4 linked regions of the Callithrix jacchus genome follow. The protein of the gene in region 3 purifies or fractionates together with the protein of the main gene of each other region. This does not show direct contact. Links are inferred from orthologs where the notes say so. Each region holds a gene or a part of one and is shown on either strand. Other genes may lie near its edges.

Region 1 (5,356 bases), on a different chromosome or scaffold from region 3:
ACTAGAACTGAAATCCCACAGAACTCCTTATTTAAATTCAAATAGAATGGGATATATGATTCATTTCAATTCCTTATTCCATATGCTTCTCCTTTGAAGACTATGCACCATTTGGTCTTTTTAAGTCCCAAGGCTCTTCCTTCTTATTTGGGAAACAGAATAAAGTTATTATGTTATTATTTATGTGTGTCTGCGTGGTAATAAACCCAACAGACAAATTGAATTAGAGAGCTGTGTGCTGGTAAACAGTATTTTAAGAGGGAATTCACCAGCAATTCAGAAAACATTTCTTCTTCTTTTTTTTTTTTTTTTTGAGATGGAGTTTCACTCTTGTTACGCAGGCTGGAGTGCAATAGCGTGCTCTTGGCTCACTGCAACCTCCGCCTCCTGGGTTCAAGCAATTCTCCTGCCTCAACCTCCCGAGTAGCTGGGACTACCCAGCTAATTTTTGTATTTTTAGTAGAGACGGGGTTTCACCATGTTGACCAGGATGGTCTCGATCTCTTGACCTCGTGATCCACCCACCTCAGCCTCCCAAAGTGCTGGGATCACAGGAGTGAGCCACCGCGCCCTGCCCACATTTATTCTTCTGATGCATTTTTGTTTCTCCATCATAGTTATTTTTATCTCTACAATGTCTAGCCTACATCAGGCCCACTATTTTCTCCTATTAAAAGCCTACTTTAAAAAAGTGAAAACAGGCGGGGCGTGGTGGCTCGCACCTATAATCCCAGCACTTTGGGCGGGCAGATTACCTGAGCTTGGGAGTTCGAGATCAGCCTGACCAACATGGAGAAATCCTGTCTCGACTAAAAATACAAAATTACCCGGGTGTACTGGTGCATGCTTGTAATCCAACTACTTGGGAGGCTGAGGCAGGAGAATCCCTTGAACCCAGGAGGCAGAGGTTGCAGTGAGCTGAGATGATGTCATTGGACTCCAGCCTCAGCAACAAGAGTGAAACTCCATCTCAAAAAAAAAAGTGAAAACAAAACACATGCATGGCCAGGCATAGTGGCTCATGCCTGTATTCCCAGCACTTTGGGAGGTCAAGATGAGAGGATTGCTTGAGCCCAGGAGTTTGAGACAAGCCTGGGCAACATGGAGGGACCCTGTCTCTACTAAAAAAAACCAAAATGTTAGCTGGTGTGGTGGCATGTTTCAGCTACTCGGGAGGCTGAGGCAGGAGGATCACTCAAGTCTGGGAACTTGAGGCTGTAGTGAGCCGTGGTTTTATCACTGCACTCCAGCCTGGGCAACACAGCAAGACCGTGTCTCCAAACAAGAAAAAAAGGGGAGATATTTATCCCTTATTGTAAATGTTGTTTGTTTTGTTTTTCTTAGAGACAGTCTCACTTCATCAGCTAAGCTGGAGTGCAGTGGCATGACTGCAGCCTTGCACTCCTGGCATGAGCCACAATGCTTGCCCATAAACATAGTTAATAGAATGAAATACTCTTACATGGAACACCGATTTATAGAAAGACTAAAAGGAACTTTGAACTGCCATCAACTGAATGTCATCTATATTAAAAGGTACTCTTTTTTTTAACATGTAAATATCTCTGGAATGATCATACATCTTATCATCAATGGCACAACATGCTGAAATTGACAGCACTTTCCTTTCTTAGTGGTACAAAAAGTGATGGTGTATGTCACAATAGATGGTGCCTTAGAGATGAGGAAATATGGTAATGCTGTGCCTTACTGTCAGGCAAGCTATTCTAGAAATACCAACTACTTACTTGTTTGGTAAGAGCCTCTAGATAATGGTAGTAAGATGGTCACATGGCAAACATAGTTAATAGAATGTCAACATAACCTGGTGACATTTTCCACAGTTTAGGGTGAGGCAGGCATCTCACCACACACACTAAGAAACAGGCAGGTCATGGCTTAAGATCAGGTAGAATTCCTCTCTGAGTCCATTCCACCCCTTCCCACCCTAAAAACAGACACTGTCTCTCTCTGTCTAGTCTCGCTTTTTCTCATACACACACATACACCCCTCCTTGTGAGCTCCCTCCTTTCTACTCCCAACCTTGCAGAGGCCCTTACTAGCCTTGGGGTTGGTCATTTATCAGCCACTGGTGAGAGTAAAATGGGAAATCCCCTCTTTTACTTAATATTTAATTTATTTTCTTTTATTATTTTATTTTAGTTTTGAAACAGGGTCTCAGTCTGTCACCCAGGCTAGAGTGCAGTGACACGATCATGGCTCACTGCAGCCTCGAATTCCTGGGATCAAGCGATCTTCCTGCCTCAGCCTCCCTAGTAGCTGGGACCTTAAGTGCACGCCACCATGCCTGGCTAGGGTTTGTTGTTGTTGTAGAGATTGGGTCTCCCTATGTTGCCCAGGCTGTCTTTTATTTTATTTTTTTGGAGACAGAGTTTTGCTCTGTTGCCCAGGCTGCTTGTACAGTGGAACCATGGTAGCTTACTGCAGTCTTAACTCCTGGGCTCAAACAATCTTCCTGCCTCAGCCTTCCAAGTGGCTGAGACTACAGATGCCTATCACCACACCCAGCTAATTCAAACAATGTTTTTTTAAGATGGGGTCTTGCTATGTTTCCCAGGCTGGTCTCAAACTCAAGGGTTCAAGTAATCCTCCCACCTCAGCCTCCCAAAGTGCTGAGATTACAGGCGTGAGCCACGTTGCCCCACCTTGATATTTAATTCCTGCTACAGTTTTATTTAGATTTTGTCAATAATAAAGATCTACCCATGTCCCGAAGCCACAGGAAGCCCCAGGCTCTACCAAGCATTTTATAGGTGCTCTGCTGTTACCTGGGCACCTCCCACAAGTCTCCTTCCAGGACTGCAAGCCTGTATGCATTTTCTGTTGCTTCCTGAGAAAGACCTGGGAGCCATGGCTTTATCCTGAAAGTTCTTGAGTCTTTTTAGGAAGAATCTGAACTGCAAAACACATGTCCTTGATATTTATAACTGGTCAAAATAACGCTGGCGTTAAGGTTACATCTGTTGGAAAATGAAACCTCCCGAGCTGTCCTGTAATAGAAGCTGCAGAGCCCTGTTTCTCCATCCTTTGTTTAACTCATGCGAAATTTGAAAGCACATTTGTCTACAAGAAATAAAGCTTACTTGTGAAATAGCTTATAAACGAACTCAGATGACAAGAAACCAAAATAGCAGGCCTGGCTGAAGCATTGATCCCTAGCCCTGAAATCCAGCCGGGTCTTTCTGTAACATCAAAGGCACAAACAATTGAACCAACAAGGGGACTGATTCTGCCCAGCAGCCCTGGTGCCCTCAGACCATCCAAAGCAAGAGTAACCTACCAGGTATGTGAGTTTTCTTCACCTGAAAGTTGATTTTGCCCGAGAGCTTATAAATCGCAGTTCCCATCTCCGAGCTTGGCCCTGTTGTGCAGCAGAGCACAGAGAGACAGCTGACGGTGACAGGCTGAGCCGTCCAGGCCTAGCTGACCTGCGTGACTCAGAGCCCACCAGGGAGCAGGCCCTCGGCCTTTCTTCATTCCCTGGCTTCATGTACTTTTCCAAGTGCCCATCAGCATGCTCAGCAACCCTGCTCACAGGGACTGTCAAACGTTCACACCTGTGTCTGTAAGTCAAGTTAGAAGAGGCTGAGGGAGTATCTCCGAGACCATAGTGTTGAATGGAGACACCTGGGGAGGTAGTTAGGCCTCTGGACCCAGACACTTTAGATGAGCTGTGTGACCTTTGGCAATGTATTTAACCTCTCTGTCCCTCCATTTCTTCTGTAAAATGAGGAAAATAATAGTTCTCATCTCACTGAGTTTGTTGTTGCTACTGTTTTTGAGACAGGGTCTCCCTCTGTTGCCCAGGCTGGAATGCAGTGGCATGATCTCAGCTCGCTGCAATCTTGATCTCCTAGGATGAAGCAATTCTCCTATCTCAGCTTCCCGAGTAGCTGGGACCACAGGCAAGTGCCACAATGCCTGCCTAATTAAAAAACTTTTTTCAGACCCAGTGCAGTGGCTCACACCTGTAATCCCAGTGCTTTGGGAAGCCAAAGCGGGTGAATCACAAGGTCGGGAGATCAAGATCATACTGGACAACAGAAACCCTGTCTCTACTAAAATTACAAAAATTAGCTGGATGTGGTGGCACGCACTTGTAGTCCCAGCTACTCGGGAGGCTGAGGCAGGAGAATCACTTGAATTGAGGTAGATGTTGCAGTGAGCCGAGATTGCACCACTGCACTCCAGCCTGGCAACAGAGCAAGACTCTGTCTCAAAAAAACAAAACAAAAGAAGTCTGGATACAGTGGCTCATGCCTGTAATCTCAACACTTTGGGAGGCCAAAGCGGGTGGATCACAAAGTCAAGAGATTGAGACTGGCCAGGCTCGGTGGCTCATGCCTGTAATCCCAGCACTTTGGGAGGCCAAGGTGGGCAGATCATGAGGTCAGGAGATCGAGACCATCCTGGCCGACATGGTGAAACCCTGTCTCTATTAAAAATACAAAAAAAATTTTAGCTGGGCGTGGTGGCGCACCCCTGTAGTCCCAGCTACTCAGGAGACTGAGGCAGGAGAACCGCTTGAACCCAAGAGGCGGAGGTTGCAGTGAGCCGAGATTATACTCCAGCCTAGTGAGAGAGCAAGACTCCATCTCAAAAAAATTTTTTTATTTTTTTTTGGTAGAGATGAGGTCTTCCTATGTTGCCCAGGTTGGTCTTGAACCCCTGGGCTTAAGTGATTCTCCCACCTTGGCCTCCCATAGTGCTAGAATTACAGACATGAGCCACCATGTCTAGCCCTCACTGAGTTGTGATAAGTGTGAAAAGTGCTTAGAATGTTACCCAGCACTATGGTAAGTGCTCTAAAAGGGTAAACCATTGAAAGAAACACTGGATATTTCTTGTTCAGAAAATTTGCACTTATGAGCAGGGCTGCCGATATTTCCAAGAATACTAGGAGACTCCACTTCACATGATAGGTTAGATCACGATTCCCAGTGTTTGGAGGGAAAGGCCCACTACAATAATAGTTAAGAATTAAGAGGAGAGGATAGGCTGCTCTTTAACCGTGCCTGTAAATAGGGCTGTTTTCTATTTGAACCCGCAGCCAGCAATCCATCCCAACAGAAGGCAGAGCCGCTCAGTGCCGTCCTTGCTTTGTGCTCAAATGCTTTCAAAGCATTCTCTCCCAAATGGCTGCCTTTTTAATGGTTAGAAACCTACAGGTAGCTGTCTTTTCTCTCCCTGATCTCCCACTTTTGTTGACTATGAGGCATTTTTATCCCTTGGTGAAACCCTCTGAGGAAGACTGCATTGTTTCACTTTTCTGGTGTCCCGAGGCAGAGGAGAGTTGATTTCACCAAAGCCAGATTGTGTAGAGGGGAGGCCATC
Region 2 (5,226 bases), on a different chromosome or scaffold from region 3:
AATAACATTCCGTTATAACAGAATTTTATCATGTAAAAAATTTTAAAGACAAAAAAAGTTTTTTCACATAAAATACCAAGTTTCAAATCTGAAATTTAGGTAAAATTACTTCCCAGGTTTAAACAACAGAATTTGAAGTAAAGCAATGTCTATTTCTTTTTCTTTACTAACACAAGATTTCTACTTCAGAATTCATTACATCATAAATGCACTTTTGTATGTTAAAAATTGTATAAAACAAACTTTTTTTTACAATACTGAGGTATGTAGAAAAATGTACTGAACTAGTTATCTGCTTCTGCAAAATTGTGCAAAATGCTGTTAATTCATCTTCAAGATGATTGTGTTAGGTATATAAAAGAAAAACGATCCAATTTCAGAATGATCACCTGAGTCACTGCTGGAGAAATCATCTCAAACTCAGAATCAAAATAACTAAAATAAACCTACTAGAAGATGACAAAGAATTCGGCAAAACTCTCTTTTAAAAGTCCTTCACTTAAAAATAAAATTTTTAGTAATTTAGAATAAGTCAAATTATTTTTTTAATCATAAAGCACAAGTAGACTATAGATTCTAAATCAGTCTCCTCAGTGTTGAGCTGTGCATATACGAAGGTTTCCATCAAAGCAAACAATTTGCCTTTGACTAAAACAATATTAAAAAGGAATCAAACACCAAATGTCACCTCCCAATCCTCCCCATTATCTGTATCTTTAAAGTGAAACACACAATGAACTATTGGGCATTTAAGTACCAGGCATTTTCTCACAACAGTTTGTTTACTCAACCACTCTCTGGGCTTAAACCTTCCCTGAAATGAAAAACAAGCCTTTTCGTTAAAGGCTTCCTAAGGGAGGGATGGATGGGGCACGTAGAGAAAGGGCTTCTTTCCTCAGACAGGATTGTGTCTCTCTTACACCATTTGTACATTTTCTCTTTTTCCCTTACTAGTCTTATCATTTGTACTGGCAACACAAGAACAATGTGTTCCATAATCATAGCTATAATTCTCCAATACCCCCAAAGAAGGAAATATATGAGTAAGTCACTGTGTAGGGTTTTTGGTTGTTTTTTTTTAAACCTGCTTCTCCACTATTACTAGTCTCTTACTAAAGCAACGTAACAACTTCCCCAAGGAGAAACCTTCAAACTCTGTGGACATTTCATGGCCTAAAACTGGTTGTCAAGGCTTGTAAGCACCTAACGGCAATTTACACAGTTATCCAGTAGAGGAAACGTTCACTGTAAACACAGCCAGTCAAAAGATAAAAACGAAATACACACACACACACACACACACACACACATCATAGAGGTTTACATTCAATTATCTCAAGATTATGGCTGAGTTAGGACATTTCACGATTCCTCAAAGGTTTTCCCCCAGCTAAAACTATGTAAAATCACACAACATACATTAACTTGCAATAAAATACATTCACTGCACCTTGTCTTAAAACCAAATCCTTACCCAACAAGTAGCTCACTCACTTTTCTATTCAATAGGCCGGGCGTGGTGGCTCACGCCTGTAATCCAAGCACTTTGGAGGCCAAGGCGGGCGGATCACCTGAGGTCGGGAGTTCAAGACCAGCCTAACCAACATGGTGAAACCCCGTCTTTATTTAAAAAAAAAAAAAAAGAAAGAAAGAAAAGAAATTTGTAAATGCACTAAAAAACTTGCAATGCAGTTATCCAATATTAATCTCGTAATTTCAGAATATATTTTAAATTCCTAAAACTAAAGTTTTTCCTGTGGAAAACAATGTAGTTGGGATTTCTCGTTACACAACAATAAAGGATTTCACTGTTTCTTTTAGCACTAGAATTGCTATACACCTCACAAAAATTGTTCTCATTCAACAAACTGAACTACAAGACACTGACTTCCAAAAGGGGACTCACTTTACACTTAACTAAAGATAGGAAGGAACCTTTCTATTAGATGTTCACACTCTTTCAGTATTCCTTAAGTACAAGAAAAAAACAAAAACCTGTCCAGTTTCTAACTCTCTTTCCTAAAGTACACCTTATATTGACAAGCAAACGGATCAAACAGCCCCTGGGATTGTTCCAGTATCACCAAGTCAGACTGAAAACTTATCACCGGCAGTGCTACAAAATAAACCTACAAAGTTCCAGAGCTGGCTGACCTTAGCCTTCTCAGGGTCTGTAGGAAACCGCAAACGTAAAGGCAAAAGTCACACGTACTGAAGGCTTCTCAGCAGAGGAGCTCAACTGAAGGGCTAAATAAGAGCAAGCACGCGGGTGGCACACTGAAATGTCGTAGAAGGCAGGAAGCCCCGCTACTATGAACCTACAACTCTGCTTTCGCGGCTGACGCATCGCTCCTGCCCGCACGCGCTTGGGGCCGTGCCAAGAGCACCGGGCAGCCCTCGCCAGGCACCTCCCGGGCTCCTCCGCCTCCCCAGCGCGCCCTACACCTGACAGCCGAGTTCTAAACAGGGAGGAAAGGTGAGGAGAGACGCCCTCCGCGGAGCCCTAGTCCGGCTGCACCCAACTCTCCCCGGGCCGGGGCCAGAGTCGGGAGACGGCTCTCACTCCCGAGGGGTCCCGCGCCACTGACAGCGGGAACCGGAGACGGACGCAGCTTGCGCCACCTCCAGAGCCCACTCCCCGCCGCAGCCCCTACCGCACGCCCGCGGGTGCCCACCCACCCACGCCCCGCTGAAGCACGCCGTCGGCCTCAGGAGCCAAGGACTTGGGCCCCGGCCGACGGCGGCGCGGGCGGGACCGAACACCCGGGTGGCGCCCCCGCGGGACCGCAAGATGGCGGCGGCGGCGCCAGGGCCCGGCTCCCCTCCGCCTCGCCTGGGCCGGCGCGCGCACTGCAGCGCGGGCGGGCGAAAGGGAAAGAAGCCAGCCTGAGAGCCGGGCAGGCAGGCAGAGGCCGCGGCGAGGCAGCAGCCGGGAAAGGGCAGGCGCCCGGGCGTGGGGGAGGGGGCGCTCCCTCGGGCCGCGGCCGCCGACGTGCTCTCCGCGCCCCCCGCCGCCGACAGCCGTCCGCGTGCCCCATCCCGCCCGGGGGTGTCCCCATCCTGCCTACCTTTGAATTTGAGGTCTGTGGGCGGGTCGAGGACCAAGATCTGCTCATGCTTCGCCATGGCCCCGGAGGCGGACGCCATCGGAGAGACAGCGCAGAGCGGGGGCGCGCCCGCGGCGACGGTTTGCTGGCTGGGGGCGGGGAACGACGGTGGTGCCCGCTCGGCCAACCTCTAGGACGGAGCCAGGCTCGCCGCTTCCGAGCCCTGACGCCTGCCGCTGTGTCGCGGGTACGGTGGGCCACCCGCTGGGTCAGCAGCTCCGGATCTCACAACTGACTCAACCCCACACCAGCCGCCACGGCCACGCGCACTGCGATCTTCGGCGCCCCACGTGATGGTCTCTGCGTTGCCTACGTGCGCGCCCCGGCGACCGAGAGCCCCTCGCGCTCGTCCCGCCCTCCAGGCCTACCTAACGCGGCGCCGGGCTACTGCGCCTGCGCGCTGAGGGCTCGCCGCGGCTCCAAGCGCAGCCCAGCTGTCAAGGGAACGGGTGTGGAAAGAGGCGGGGCAAAGGCCCGCGGGACCGACGCGATGCGCAGCCGCAGGCTTGAGGCGCAGTCCTCTGTCACGTTGAGCTACGAGTACGAAACTAGAGAACCTGCTCTGGCAGCGCATCACGGTCTTCCAAGTGGGAATGCCTAGGGAGGAGTAGTGGGGAAGCGCCCACTCACTACAACTCCCAGCATGCCCCTTGTGGGGCGGGGCCTTCGCCGAGGGCCTGGTACTTCGCGGTGCTTGCTGGGAAGTGTAGTAGTGGCTGTTTGTGGGCGGGAAGGTGAGCGAGGTCCTTTTGAGGCGAATGGGGTGGGGTTCGCGGACGCTAATTTTGGCTCAGAGCACGTCTAGTTTGCGCTAAAAAGGAAAAAACTTTTGAAGGCGGAAACGAGTTCCCAATGTTAGAAATATACTGATAAAATCTGCCCTGTGGAGAACAGGCGGGGATGTGTCCGTTTGCTCTGTAATTCTATCCATCCCTCTGTTGGCAAGACTGCATTCCCTGTAATGATCCCATCCAGCCTCTCCTGCTTCCTGAGTTCTCTCCAGTGATGCAAAATCAGATAAGGAAGCACACCCCGTCTAGGAAGCAAACGAGTCGCAGGGGAAATATGACAAAGCACACAAAAGCTAGAAACAAAAGTCAAAATCTACACCATCGAGCCTACGAATCTTCAGTTTTGATTAATGATGGACCCAAACCAACACAGTTGTCACGTTCACATGTTACAAAAGAAATCCATCTGCATCACTTATGATAGGCTGTAGTAAACTGAACCAAATGAGAAAAATCCCAGCAGCAAAGTTGCTGACAAATCTTTAGCCGATTGCCAAGGTAATCCGGTACAGGAACGTCAAATGAAGCGAATGTGCTGTAAATAAACCTTTATTGTATTGTATGATACTGTCTGAATTTAAATATCTAGGAAGCGCCACAAAATAAAAGACATATTGATTGATGCTACTGCCGTAAAGCAGCACAGTTTGTCTAGAAAATAAATGAGACAAAACAGCAGTCAAGACGCAGGCACCAAGTTTTCATGTGCAATCCAGGTATCAGAGTCCACCCAGGAACAGCCTACTGGAATCACTAACCTGGCATTCACAGAAGATGGTGCCACCCAGGAGGAATGCATCTTCAGCCTTGAAGTTCCTGGGAGGATAGAGTGCTTAAGAAGTTTGAAGCATATTCTAAATTTACCTTTCCTGTGATTTCTTTCTATTTGCAAAATTTATTCTGAAATGTCGATTATCATTAAGGCAGAATACCAAAAAAAATTGTATATGAGTTAAAGTTGATTTTGTTTTAAGGAAAAAAAAACTAAAGTTGACAATCAGTCCAAATAATAGTGTCCCACATAAGTTTAGTTGTGAATTGACAACCCTAAAGGCCCTCACAAACTCCAGTATTTTGCCAGCCTAAGATCTCTCCTCCATGGGCAAGCTAGCCTAGGCTGAACCGGTCCCTCCATAGCTGGAGGGACACTTCTCTTACCAGAAAGCATTTGTGAATCCCCCATGTGCAAACAGCCAACTAGCAGAATAGCATGCAGAGGAAATTCCCAGCAACTCCCCTACGGAAGGATGAATGGTCCACCCATTCACCATGGGTTTAATGGGAATCCCGAATTGGATGTATTCCAGTTTCCCAGTCTTATCATTAAG
Region 3 (4,674 bases):
ATGCACATCATCATCCTGGCTGATTTTTGTATTTTTAGTTGAGATGAGGTTTCACCATGTTGTCCAGGCTGGTTTCGAACTCCTGACCTTAAGTGATCTGCCCGCCTTGGCCTCCTACACCCTGCCAATACTGACAATCTTAAAGAGAGAAATTTAATCATCCTTTAATGAGTAAAATGTTTAATAAGAGTAAGAAAGCATATTGTGGAAAGAAGAAGTTCTAGATTATTTATCCCTTTAGCGGTTTCCTGGAGGTTTAATGGTCATTAGAAAGAAGTACTTGTGGCTAGGCGTGGTGGGTCACACCTATTATCCCAGCACTTTGGGAGGCTGAGAAAGGAGAATTATTTGAAGCCAGGAGTTCAAGACCAGCCTAGGCAACATAACGAAGCCCACGTCTCTACAGAAATAAAAATAACTTAGCCTATTTGGGTGGCGTGTGCCTGTAGTTCTAGCTACTCGGGAAGCTGAGGTGGGAGTATGGCTTGAGCCCAGGAATATGAGGCTGTAGTGAGCTGTCATCACGCCAACTGTGCTGTAGCCTGGGCAACAGAGTGGGGTGTCTTACACACACACACACACACACACACACACGACATACTTGTTACTAGTGCTTTTTTGTAAGAGTTTATCTAACATGGCATTTTAATATGGTTTTAAAAATATTTCTTTCCAGTTAACAGAAGATGAAATTGCAACCATTCTTAAATCTACATTGAAAGGACTAGAATATCTGCACTTTATGAGAAAAATACACAGAGATATAAAAGCTGGAAATATTCTCCTCAATACAGAAGGACATGCAAAATTGGCAGATTTTGGAGTGGCTGGACAGCTAACAGTAAGTTAAATTTAATAATTTTCTAAACACTTGGCTAATTTGTTCAGCTTTGATTGTAACTAAACTTTGATAACTTTTTGAGGGGGAATGGAAAGAAATGTGTAACTTTTTTGTTTTTGTGGAGAAGGAACCCTAATCGAGCCAAATTCGAGTATTATTTAATTTATAATTTAGGATAATTGAATATGAAAATTTGTAATCAAAATGCTTTACTGTTCTAAAAGGGAAGCTAGTCAGCTCATTTGTGTAGCTTTCAGCATTATAGTATCTTTAAGGATTGTATTTAAGTGATGGTAGTAGAGATAAGTTACCTGTGGATTCTTGGTTGTTTTCAGAATTCAGAATTCCTAAGTATGTCATAACTGGTTGAAATTTTAGCAAAATATAGTCAATTTCTGATACAATATGTGGCATTGGAGGTTTTGACTTTTTCTTAAAGAATGTTTGGCATACAGATTTCCTTTGTGTTTTTGTAGTAGCATTTATGGCTACGTAACATTATTGCAGGATACGATGGCCAAACGCAATACTGTAATAGGAACTCCATTTTGGATGGCTCCTGAGGTGATTCAAGAAATAGGCTATAACTGTGTTGCTGACATCTGGTCCCTCGGCATTACTTCTATAGAAATGGCTGAAGGAAAACCTCCTTATGCTGATATACATCCAATGAGGGTAAGAAAATTATGATTTGCTAAAAATGTTAGCCTTATATAAGTGTTGCAGTTTTGTAATGTCAGTGTAAGTAAATATAAACTAAATACGTTTATTTAAATTTGTTCTTTTTAAAAATGCTAAAATTATCTCTTAAAGATTAGTAACTGATAATTTCTCTTCCTTCTGCATTCTAAATTGTGGGAAAAGAAGTGAAGGCTCTGTATATGTCTACAGTCACTGTTCTACCCCCAAAAATATACCTGTAAAGTTTTTGCTTGCTTTTCAGTAGAAGAAAGGGTTGGTAAATCCTCTTTGCTCTTCAGTTTATTGCTTCTCGATGTGATAGTGGAAGAGTTTGAAGTAATCTGTTCTTACCCACTCCGTAATGTATACCTGTCTCTCTCTCTCTCTATCTCTCTCTCTCTCTCTCTCTCTCTCTCTCTCTCTCTCTCTCTCTCTCTCAGTGTGTGTGTGTGTGTGTGTGTGTGTGTGTGTGTGTGTGTGTGGTTTTTTTTTTCTACCCTTTCTCTTTGGTCTGAGGATGATATTAAGCAATCCTAATTTCTAATATTGCTATGCACCTGTAAAGGAATTAGGCTTTTTTTTTTTTAATGAATCCTTATTCAGAAAATGGAATTCCTTTGTTGAACATCATTATATGTTTCTGTGATCGCTGCAGGAAAATTTTTGAGTTTGAAATATATATCTTACATATTCAAGTCCAATTGCCTATGTTTCAAGATTTGTGATGATATACTTTTTAGGTTTATTACTCTGTGAATCATATAGATAAGTTCATCATCATAGATAAGTACATTTATCTTTGTATACTTATTGCCCTCTAGTGGCTGCAGTTACCTCAATAAGGATATAGAAATGAAGGGAAGAGTGTATGTATGTGTAGAAAAGAGAAGATAGTGTCATGGTGGCTGGAGGAATTTGAAGTAAGTAGGAAGAAGAAGAATGCATTATTTTAGGCTATCTGAAGATGAATAAATTGGAATCACATCTGATATTATAATGCTATTGTGGGTTAAATTTTGATAATATAGGTAATAGTGTATTATATGGAAAACATTTAAAAATCTGTCTGTTGTATTGAAACATTTTTATTTTTTTATTTTATTTATTTTTATTTTTTTGCCAATCAGTTTGAGCTTATGAGGTTGCTCAGGTTAGCCTTGAACTGATGACCTCGCCTTCGCGAGCATTTTTAAAGAGAGTTTTTGTTTTCTCATTCTTTTGAGACAGGGTCTTACTCTGTCACCCTGCCTGTAGTGCAGTAGTGCGATCATGGCTCACTCTAGCCTCAACTTCCTGGGCTCAGGTGATCTTCCCACCTCAGCCTGCAGAGTAGCTGGGGATATAGGTATGCACTATCATGCCCAACTAATTTTCTGTTAGTAGAGACAAGTTGTCGCTACATTGCCCAGGCTATTTTCTGTTAGTAGAGACAAGTTGTCGCTACATTGCCCAGGCTAGTCTCCAACTCCTGGGCTCAAGCGATCCTCCCACTGTGGCTTCCCAAAGTGCTGGGATTACAGGAGTGTGCCCAGCATAGAATTCTTTGAGTAATATAATCGTATACAATATGTACCATCTTCCTTGTGTATGTAAATTCCTTTTGGTAAATGAAAGATAAAAATAGCATCAATTGTTTTAAAATAAAATGAAAAATAACAAGGTCAGCAAGAACAAAAACAGGAACACAGAGTCTTACTTCTTCTCTGATCATTAGTTATCTGTGGTTATTTTAGTTAGGATGTTTGTAGAGTGATCCTCAAAGTAGACAAGTTTGTGTTTCAGTCCGTGAGGGTTACTAAATTACCCAAGGCAACTTAGGTAGGTTCCAGAGCTGGGATTTAACCTAGGACTTCCATTATTACCATTCTGCTTCTTCCCTGTGTAAATCTTATTTTTCTATCCAAATAGTTCAATATGTTAAATTTGACCCTGTGCTACTTTCTCTAGCAGAGAGGAGAGAATTGTAATATGTGACCCCTTCCTTTAAGGATCTGATAATATTACCTGAGAGTTTGAATGAATACATAATACATTGTTAAAAATATACCTGATGATAGTGTTTCTCTTAGGAAAAAAAATATATATATATTGCAAATTTCCTCGGATGCCTTGCTTACTGTTTTTTTTTTTTTCAAACCAGTCTAAATCCTACCATTTTTTAAAGTCTCAACTCAGATTTTATTTCTGGATAGACCCATTCTTGACAGCTGTCGCCCAAGTAAATTTCTCTTTTTCCTCATAATTTGTATATAGGCAATTTTTGACAGTCCAGTTCTTTGGATAGTTAATCAAGTGTTGCCTTGTACATTTCCAAACATAATATAGTTTATCTCCTATTTGAATGATGGCATTATTTAACTTTTTTTGTGTTTGTGAGCTGCCTCACAAATTAGAGTATTGAACTGCAAGTATTGGGGGTTGTTAAGATCATGTAACAGATACAGTTCTATCATGGGCAACAAATACTGCCTTTTATTTGTCTTGAAATGACGGGTTCACTTGGTTCATTTTTGAGAAAATGTCTGTCAAATACCCATCTGTGTAACCTTAGTTTTCTGTCAGTTATTCTTCAAGTAAAATCGGTGTTCTTGAAAAGAGCCTTGTAGTTTATTTAGCTTGCAGCTCAGTCATGCAACTACTTTTTTTCAGATTATTATTGTTCTTTGGTATGTGGGGAAGTGCATTATGCATATTTTCCATTTTGTCATGTAGAATACTACAAAATATATATTCACGTGTGGAAATTTAATAAAGTTAATAACTTTTACTGTTTCTTCAAGGTTTACAGTAGTTTGGTGGGGGGCATAGTACGGGCGTGAAAAGAGCTGTTCAAGAGAGAAAAAAAATGTAGTGGGTCCAGCTAAAATTGGTAATTGAGAAATTGTAATGTAATTAATACTGGTTTATGGGCCTTCCTGTGGTAGCATACTCTGCTGCGCAGTAGAGTGCATTATGGCCTTGATATGCAGGGTTTGGGTTTTAATGAATTAGTGTTTTTAAAGGATGGGGCTACAGGGAATTTAAGGATGCTGCTGAGATACACTTCAGGTGGTTACTAACAGGGCACAGTCTGGAAAGAGAGAGAAATTCTGGAAAGAAAAGAGAATATAAGGAAATGGAGCAATCATGGAATAGTGTTCTCTCCATGCTTG
Region 4 (5,241 bases), on a different chromosome or scaffold from region 3:
CTCTTCCTTGGTTTCAAGAAGCATTTATGAAGCATCCACATTGGGATGTTCCAGGCCTGTTGATTTACTGCATTACCACCACGTCTCTACAGATTTATAGATTATTTTCTAGGCTTCCCAGAGAGCCCTCAGTAATCAGATGGCAAGAATCCAAGTCACCAGGGTCTCCAAATCCAGATTCTCAGTTAAGGCAGGAAGGAAAATAGGAAGAAAGAGTAACAGATGAGGAACTGCTTTCAGAGCCTGCAGCACACAATCATCAGAGCAGGCCCCCTGGAGTGGCTCCATCTCCCTTCACACAACACAGCCCAAAGGCACCAGCAACAACAGCAGTGGCATCAGAGTGACCTCTGGAGGAGGCCCAGCTGGGACCCGGTGGCTGAAACAGCAGCTTGTCATGCACAGGAAAACAGGGCCAGCCTGCCCTGTTGCTAAGTCATTTCAGACTGTCTGAAAAGCTGCGAGAGCAGGATTTTCACTTAGCACTGTAAGGGCCTGCCATCTTAAGCTGCATCCAACACTCCAGGAGCTAGGAAAGCCATCTCCAGAGGAAAAGCAGCATCTGCTATGGTGTGTAAGGAAATGGCTCTGCTCACTCACTTGGTTGATTCTTAACGGGATCAATACAGTCATTTCAGAGTTCCATGCAAAAACCTGACCAAACTAGGGAATTAAAAATCAGGAAGGCATGGTGATTACTGCAAAGGGAACACAAGGTGGGTTTTGAGGGGGTTCCAGTAATGTCTGTTTCTTGATCTGGGTAATTCAGGTTGTGTCTGTTTTGTGAAAATTTGTTGAGCTGCATCTTTGATTTGTGCCATTTCCTCTCTATATAATTCTTTTAAACAATTAATGTCAAGAAGACCAATCTGAATTTTATCACTAAAGGCTAGTAGTGTAAAAACCAGTAAAGGCAGGGGGCCCTTCTTCATAGCAGTATGTGGATTCCTGTGTTTTGTAGCTTGAATAAACCCTCTGAGGAATACGGCACTAAAATGATCAGCTGAGTAACAAAGCAGGAAGGTAATTACGGTCCGAAGGTGACAGCTGAACCATCTCCCGGCATGGGGCGCTGCCCACAAGTGGATGGCCATACAAAGGCAAGCCCTGAAAACTGTCGTACTGAAACCTCCCTCCACCAACATCATGACAGGGTCAGAAAACGAGTGACGCTGCAATACCGGCACTTTTGTCACTTACGCGTGCTGTGACCTTGAGCCGGTTATCTTACCCTTTCTGCCTCTCTGGGTCCCCACCTCTAAAACGGGGTTGATGATCCCCCTTCTAGCACCGCCACATCTAATGGTTATGAAGATCTTGTAGATAGAAAAGCACCTCCTAATATATTCTTATCTCCCAGGAATGCCACTTACAAATAATTTTTTAAAGAAAAAAATCCGAAGTCATTAATTCCTACAATGGCCACACCCAAAGTCAATACGTGTAAATTTTTTCAAGGAGAAAATTGTGCAAATAAACTAAATTAGAACTGATCAGACCAAAGGCCTATAATCTGAAAATGGAGGGTTATTGAGATGTTCAAATAAGACATTACACTATTGAAATATCGCTTGTTCTTGAATTTTTGGAAATAAAATATCATGACTTGCAGCTCACATTTTTTTTTCTTTGTTTTTTTTAAGCTGAAAGGAAAAAATCAAGTGCTTTAAAGTTAAACAAAAGAACCAGGTCTGCAACTACAGTCCCCACCCTGCAGCCTTTTGTTCTGGGGACAAGTGGCCGTTTCCAACTGTAGAGGCAGATGACAAGCATTTATTTATTTATTTTTAAATCTAAAACAAGGTTTTTCTTTCGTCTTTTATTGGGGAGGGGGAGCGGAGAACGAGGGCTGCGTGAACGCCCTTTGTCCGCCTCGGGCTGCCGTAGAGACCGCAGTGCGGACTGCACCACGCCCACCAACCGGTGTCTCCCGGAGAAACACTTCAGCACCACCCCAGGAGAATAGAGCGCGGGCTGGGGCTGCGGAGGGTCCCGGCGACCTCTGTCAGGGGCGAGGGGAGGGCCGGGACGCTAGGGGATAAAGGGAAAGGCAGAGACCAGAGCTGCCCACCCAGGGACTCCCAGCGCAACAAAGCCAGGCAGAGGGAGAGGTGGGGACGCGTGGCCCCCGCCAGCCGGAGGCCGGGGCAGAGCGCACGCCCCGACAGCCGAGCCCGACTGGGGCGCCGCAGTGTGGGGGGGGCAGGTGCGTCGGGCGGTCCGGGGGCACTGCGGCAGCTCGGGTGGGGCTGGGGGCGGGTCTCTCGGTGCGCCCGAGGCTGCGCCCGTCGGACCCTCACGACCCCGCCCAGGGTCGCGGGCGAACCGCTATTCGGTCTCCGCAGAGAGCGCCAATGGTGCACGCACCGGGCGAGGAGCTGACCTACCCGCTGACGTCTCCCCCACCGACCCCCTTCAAGCTACCACTCCAGAGGCTGGGACTTTTAAAAGCAGCAGCCCCACCCCACAACTTGGGGTCCCATTGTCCTTTCTGAGAGCTGCAGCCAAGGCCCCAGGGGCGGTAGCGAGGCGGGCTCTGTCTAGTGGCAAAGCGAAGGCGGTTTTGCATCCCAGCATCCCGGGGGGGGGAGGGGGGGGAGCGGGCGTGGCCCTAGGACTAGCCTAGTCATTCTGAGGAAAGAAAGGATCAGAAGGTTTGAAATCGGAAAAGGCGTTTCTCAGGGTCTGAGTTAGCCGGTTGAGGATGAATCCCACGCGGGCCCTGGCACATGGGACTTCGGCCCCCGATCTGCGGTTGTGGGGGTCCCAGCCTTTTCCTGAGGCCAGAAGGGGGTTGAAAGGAGTGGTTGCATCAGGTCTCCTCGACCCTGCTGCCTCCTGCAGTTGCGGCTTTATTCTGGCCTCTGCTCCCCTGACACCTGCATTTCACTTAGCGGGAGAGGCGGTGGCCAACTCAGCAGAGGATGCGGACCCAGCGTGGTGACAGATCCCTCAAGGTTATTGGGAGACTCCCCCCGGGTCTCATATCTAGTCATTCGGATTATTCTTCTTAATTAGTCCGGAAAAGAGTCTGGATCAAGTATGGAAGGTGGTGGGGAGAGGCCTGGGTGCGCGGCACGAGGGAGGAGCGCGGTGACCGTCGCGCCTGGGTGGGGTCGTGTTTGCGCCTCTCTCAGCGCGCGTCCCTGGGGGCGTGGGGCCACTTACCGAGCTCGATATTGCCGATGGCGCGCCGCAGGTGCTCCTCGGTTACGATCTCGCCGACGACCACCAGCAAGTAGAACTTGCTGTCAAGGAAGCGGTGTGACAGGCTAGGCGAGGTGGACGCCGCCGGGTTGGCGATGCTGCCGGACGGCTCCGGCTCGGTGGCTTCCACCACCACTGTCGCCATCCTGCCGGCCGCTGTGCCTCAGCGAAGTGTCTCCCTCTGGCCGCTCCTCTCCTCTGCGGCAGGAGAAAGGATTATCTCCGAAGGTGCTGTCTCCGCTCCGCCCCCTGCGTCCCCCCTCCTCTGGCGCCGCGCGCCCCACGCCGCCTCCCCCTCCGCCCTCTCCTAGCGCCGTGGAGAGTGCGCGGCGGAGAGGAGCGGAGAGTGAGAGAGGGCGGGGAGGCGGCGCTGCTTTTATATGGAGACTAGGCAGGGAGCCGGGGAGGAGGAGGAAGAGGAGGAGGAAAGGACCACCCGGCACATCCTCACGCAGTGGCTGCCTCCGCTCTTCCAGCCGTTGGCCCGGGGCTGATGTCATCTGCAGCAAATCATCTCGCCCGCGGCCCGGAAGCTGGAGGGACGAGGTGTGCTGACAATGGTCGGGGTAGGGCCGAAAGCCAAGGGGCTGGGGAGCCCCCTGGGCTCCTGCTACAGCCTTGAAGGGGGAAAAAGCTCCCAGCCTATACACCCCCTGCCACGTACACACCCACTGCCCACTCCACACCCTCACCCTGTCTGTGCATGGGAATGGGATGAGTTTCCATTTTCAGAGTAGGGGTCTTTCCCTTGTCCGAGGTGCACTAGTCAGGCCTTTGCCTCGTGTGCCATCTATGATGTAGCCAGGTTCTCAGGAACTGGCATAGCCACAATGAGCAGACTCGGGACTGTGGGTACCCCGCCTAGGAAGATGGAACCTGTCTTTTCTTTGACCTTGTGGCTTTAAGAAGACGAGTTTACTGATATTTACCAATATCAGTATTTACCACCTTCACTTAAAGAATACCTCAAAGATGCAAAACTTAAGCCTACTGTTGTTCAGGCTTTGGATTCTACTCTGCCAGGGCCAGGGGTGAAAAAGTACTGGCTTTGTGGTGCCCATGGGAAATGAGAGAAATGCAGGTGCATTATCTCAGATACCGATTTCTTTCCTTAATATACTGAACAGATAGTCTCAGGAATTACAGAGAATAAAGAGAAGATACTGTCTCTACCCAGCAGGGTTACAGTGACTATAATGTACTTTTCAGTTCCTTGGTGAACACACAAGCAAATTTATCTCATGTGACGATGTCTTTTAAAATATATGTAGCATTTGGAATTTTTATTGCCTTTGTTTATGTTTAGAAGAACTCATAAAAATGTGTTGTTGTTTTTTTAAAGGCAGCCTATTTACAACCATTTCTCACAAATATACTGATTACAGCTTTTGTCCCAGAAAAGGGGAGGAGGAAAGAACAAAATGTGCAGACATAATACCACCATTAAAGATAGGGGATTCGAGCTTTAAGGGAGAGGAATAGATGGAAATTAGTCAACATAGCTTTAGTACAAGAAAGCATATTAGTAGAATATAGATGATAAATACATAATCACCTAGATATTCTTAAGATTTCCAAAATAACCCAGTGTCTTAGGTGTTAGCTGCCATCACTTACTGGTTATGTACTCTTTGCTCTTACATGTTTCCTGAAACCCTGGCACGGGAGACATCTGGGTAGCCAAGGGCTGGGGCAGGGGGTCCCATCCAACATGTCAATCTGATCAATACAGAATAAAAATACTGTCTGGCCCGCAGTATTTGGGATCCGTGACAGGCTCACTAGAGAGTTGCATTCACCAGTAAATAGATGAAGTGTTTCCAGATCATATTTTGGTTAAGATACTCAATTGCTGTTAGAGAGGTAAGCCCATCACCAAAGCCCATAATCAGGGTGAGGGGCAGGAGATATGGTGAAGAGCACTGTTTTCCAAAAGTCATCCATTGGATTCCAGCCTCCTGTAGTGTGTTTGTTTTTCCTTTCTTTGAACCACTCTTACTTTTCTGTATCTATTGTTTTCCTTTACTTGGTTTA

Evidence for each region.
Region 1: the proteins of STK3 (region 3) and RASSF3 purify together in Homo sapiens (affinity purification with mass spectrometry; 4 studies listed by BioGRID and IntAct, with this or other methods). This does not show direct contact. The link is inferred for Callithrix jacchus from reciprocal best matches to the Homo sapiens genes STK3 and RASSF3.
Region 2: the proteins of STK3 (region 3) and VAPA purify together in Homo sapiens (affinity purification with mass spectrometry; 4 studies listed by BioGRID and IntAct, counting the BioPlex papers as one, with this or other methods). This does not show direct contact. The link is inferred for Callithrix jacchus from reciprocal best matches to the Homo sapiens genes STK3 and VAPA.
Region 4: the proteins of STK3 (region 3) and MAP1B purify together in Homo sapiens (affinity purification with mass spectrometry; 4 studies listed by BioGRID and IntAct, with this or other methods). This does not show direct contact. The link is inferred for Callithrix jacchus from reciprocal best matches to the Homo sapiens genes STK3 and MAP1B.

The regions. Positions count from the first base shown.
Region 1 is NC_133510.1:54,777,051-54,782,406, forward strand, and holds the start of RASSF3 (ras association domain-containing protein 3), read right to left. Parts: upstream 3,410-5,356; 5' UTR 3,370-3,409; coding exon 3,303-3,369; intron 1-3,302.
Region 2 is NC_133514.1:53,008,701-53,013,926, forward strand, and holds the start of VAPA (vesicle-associated membrane protein-associated protein A), read right to left. Parts: upstream 3,410-5,226; 5' UTR 3,148-3,409; coding exon 3,069-3,147; intron 2,477-3,068; exon of another isoform or gene 2,205-2,476; intron 1-2,204. UniProt on the Homo sapiens protein: Endoplasmic reticulum (ER)-anchored protein that mediates the formation of contact sites between the ER and endosomes via interaction with FFAT motif-containing proteins such as STARD3 or WDR44.
Region 3 is NC_133517.1:98,134,104-98,138,777, forward strand, and holds part of STK3 (serine/threonine-protein kinase 3), read left to right. Parts: intron 1-676; coding exon 677-841; intron 842-1,348; coding exon 1,349-1,516; intron 1,517-4,674. UniProt on the Homo sapiens protein: Stress-activated, pro-apoptotic kinase which, following caspase-cleavage, enters the nucleus and induces chromatin condensation followed by internucleosomal DNA fragmentation.
Region 4 is NC_133503.1:139,053,601-139,058,841, forward strand, and holds the start of MAP1B (microtubule-associated protein 1B), read right to left. Parts: upstream 3,410-5,241; 5' UTR 3,353-3,409; coding exon 3,169-3,352; intron 1-3,168. UniProt on the Homo sapiens protein: Facilitates tyrosination of alpha-tubulin in neuronal microtubules. Phosphorylated MAP1B is required for proper microtubule dynamics and plays a role in the cytoskeletal changes that accompany neuronal differentiation and neurite extension.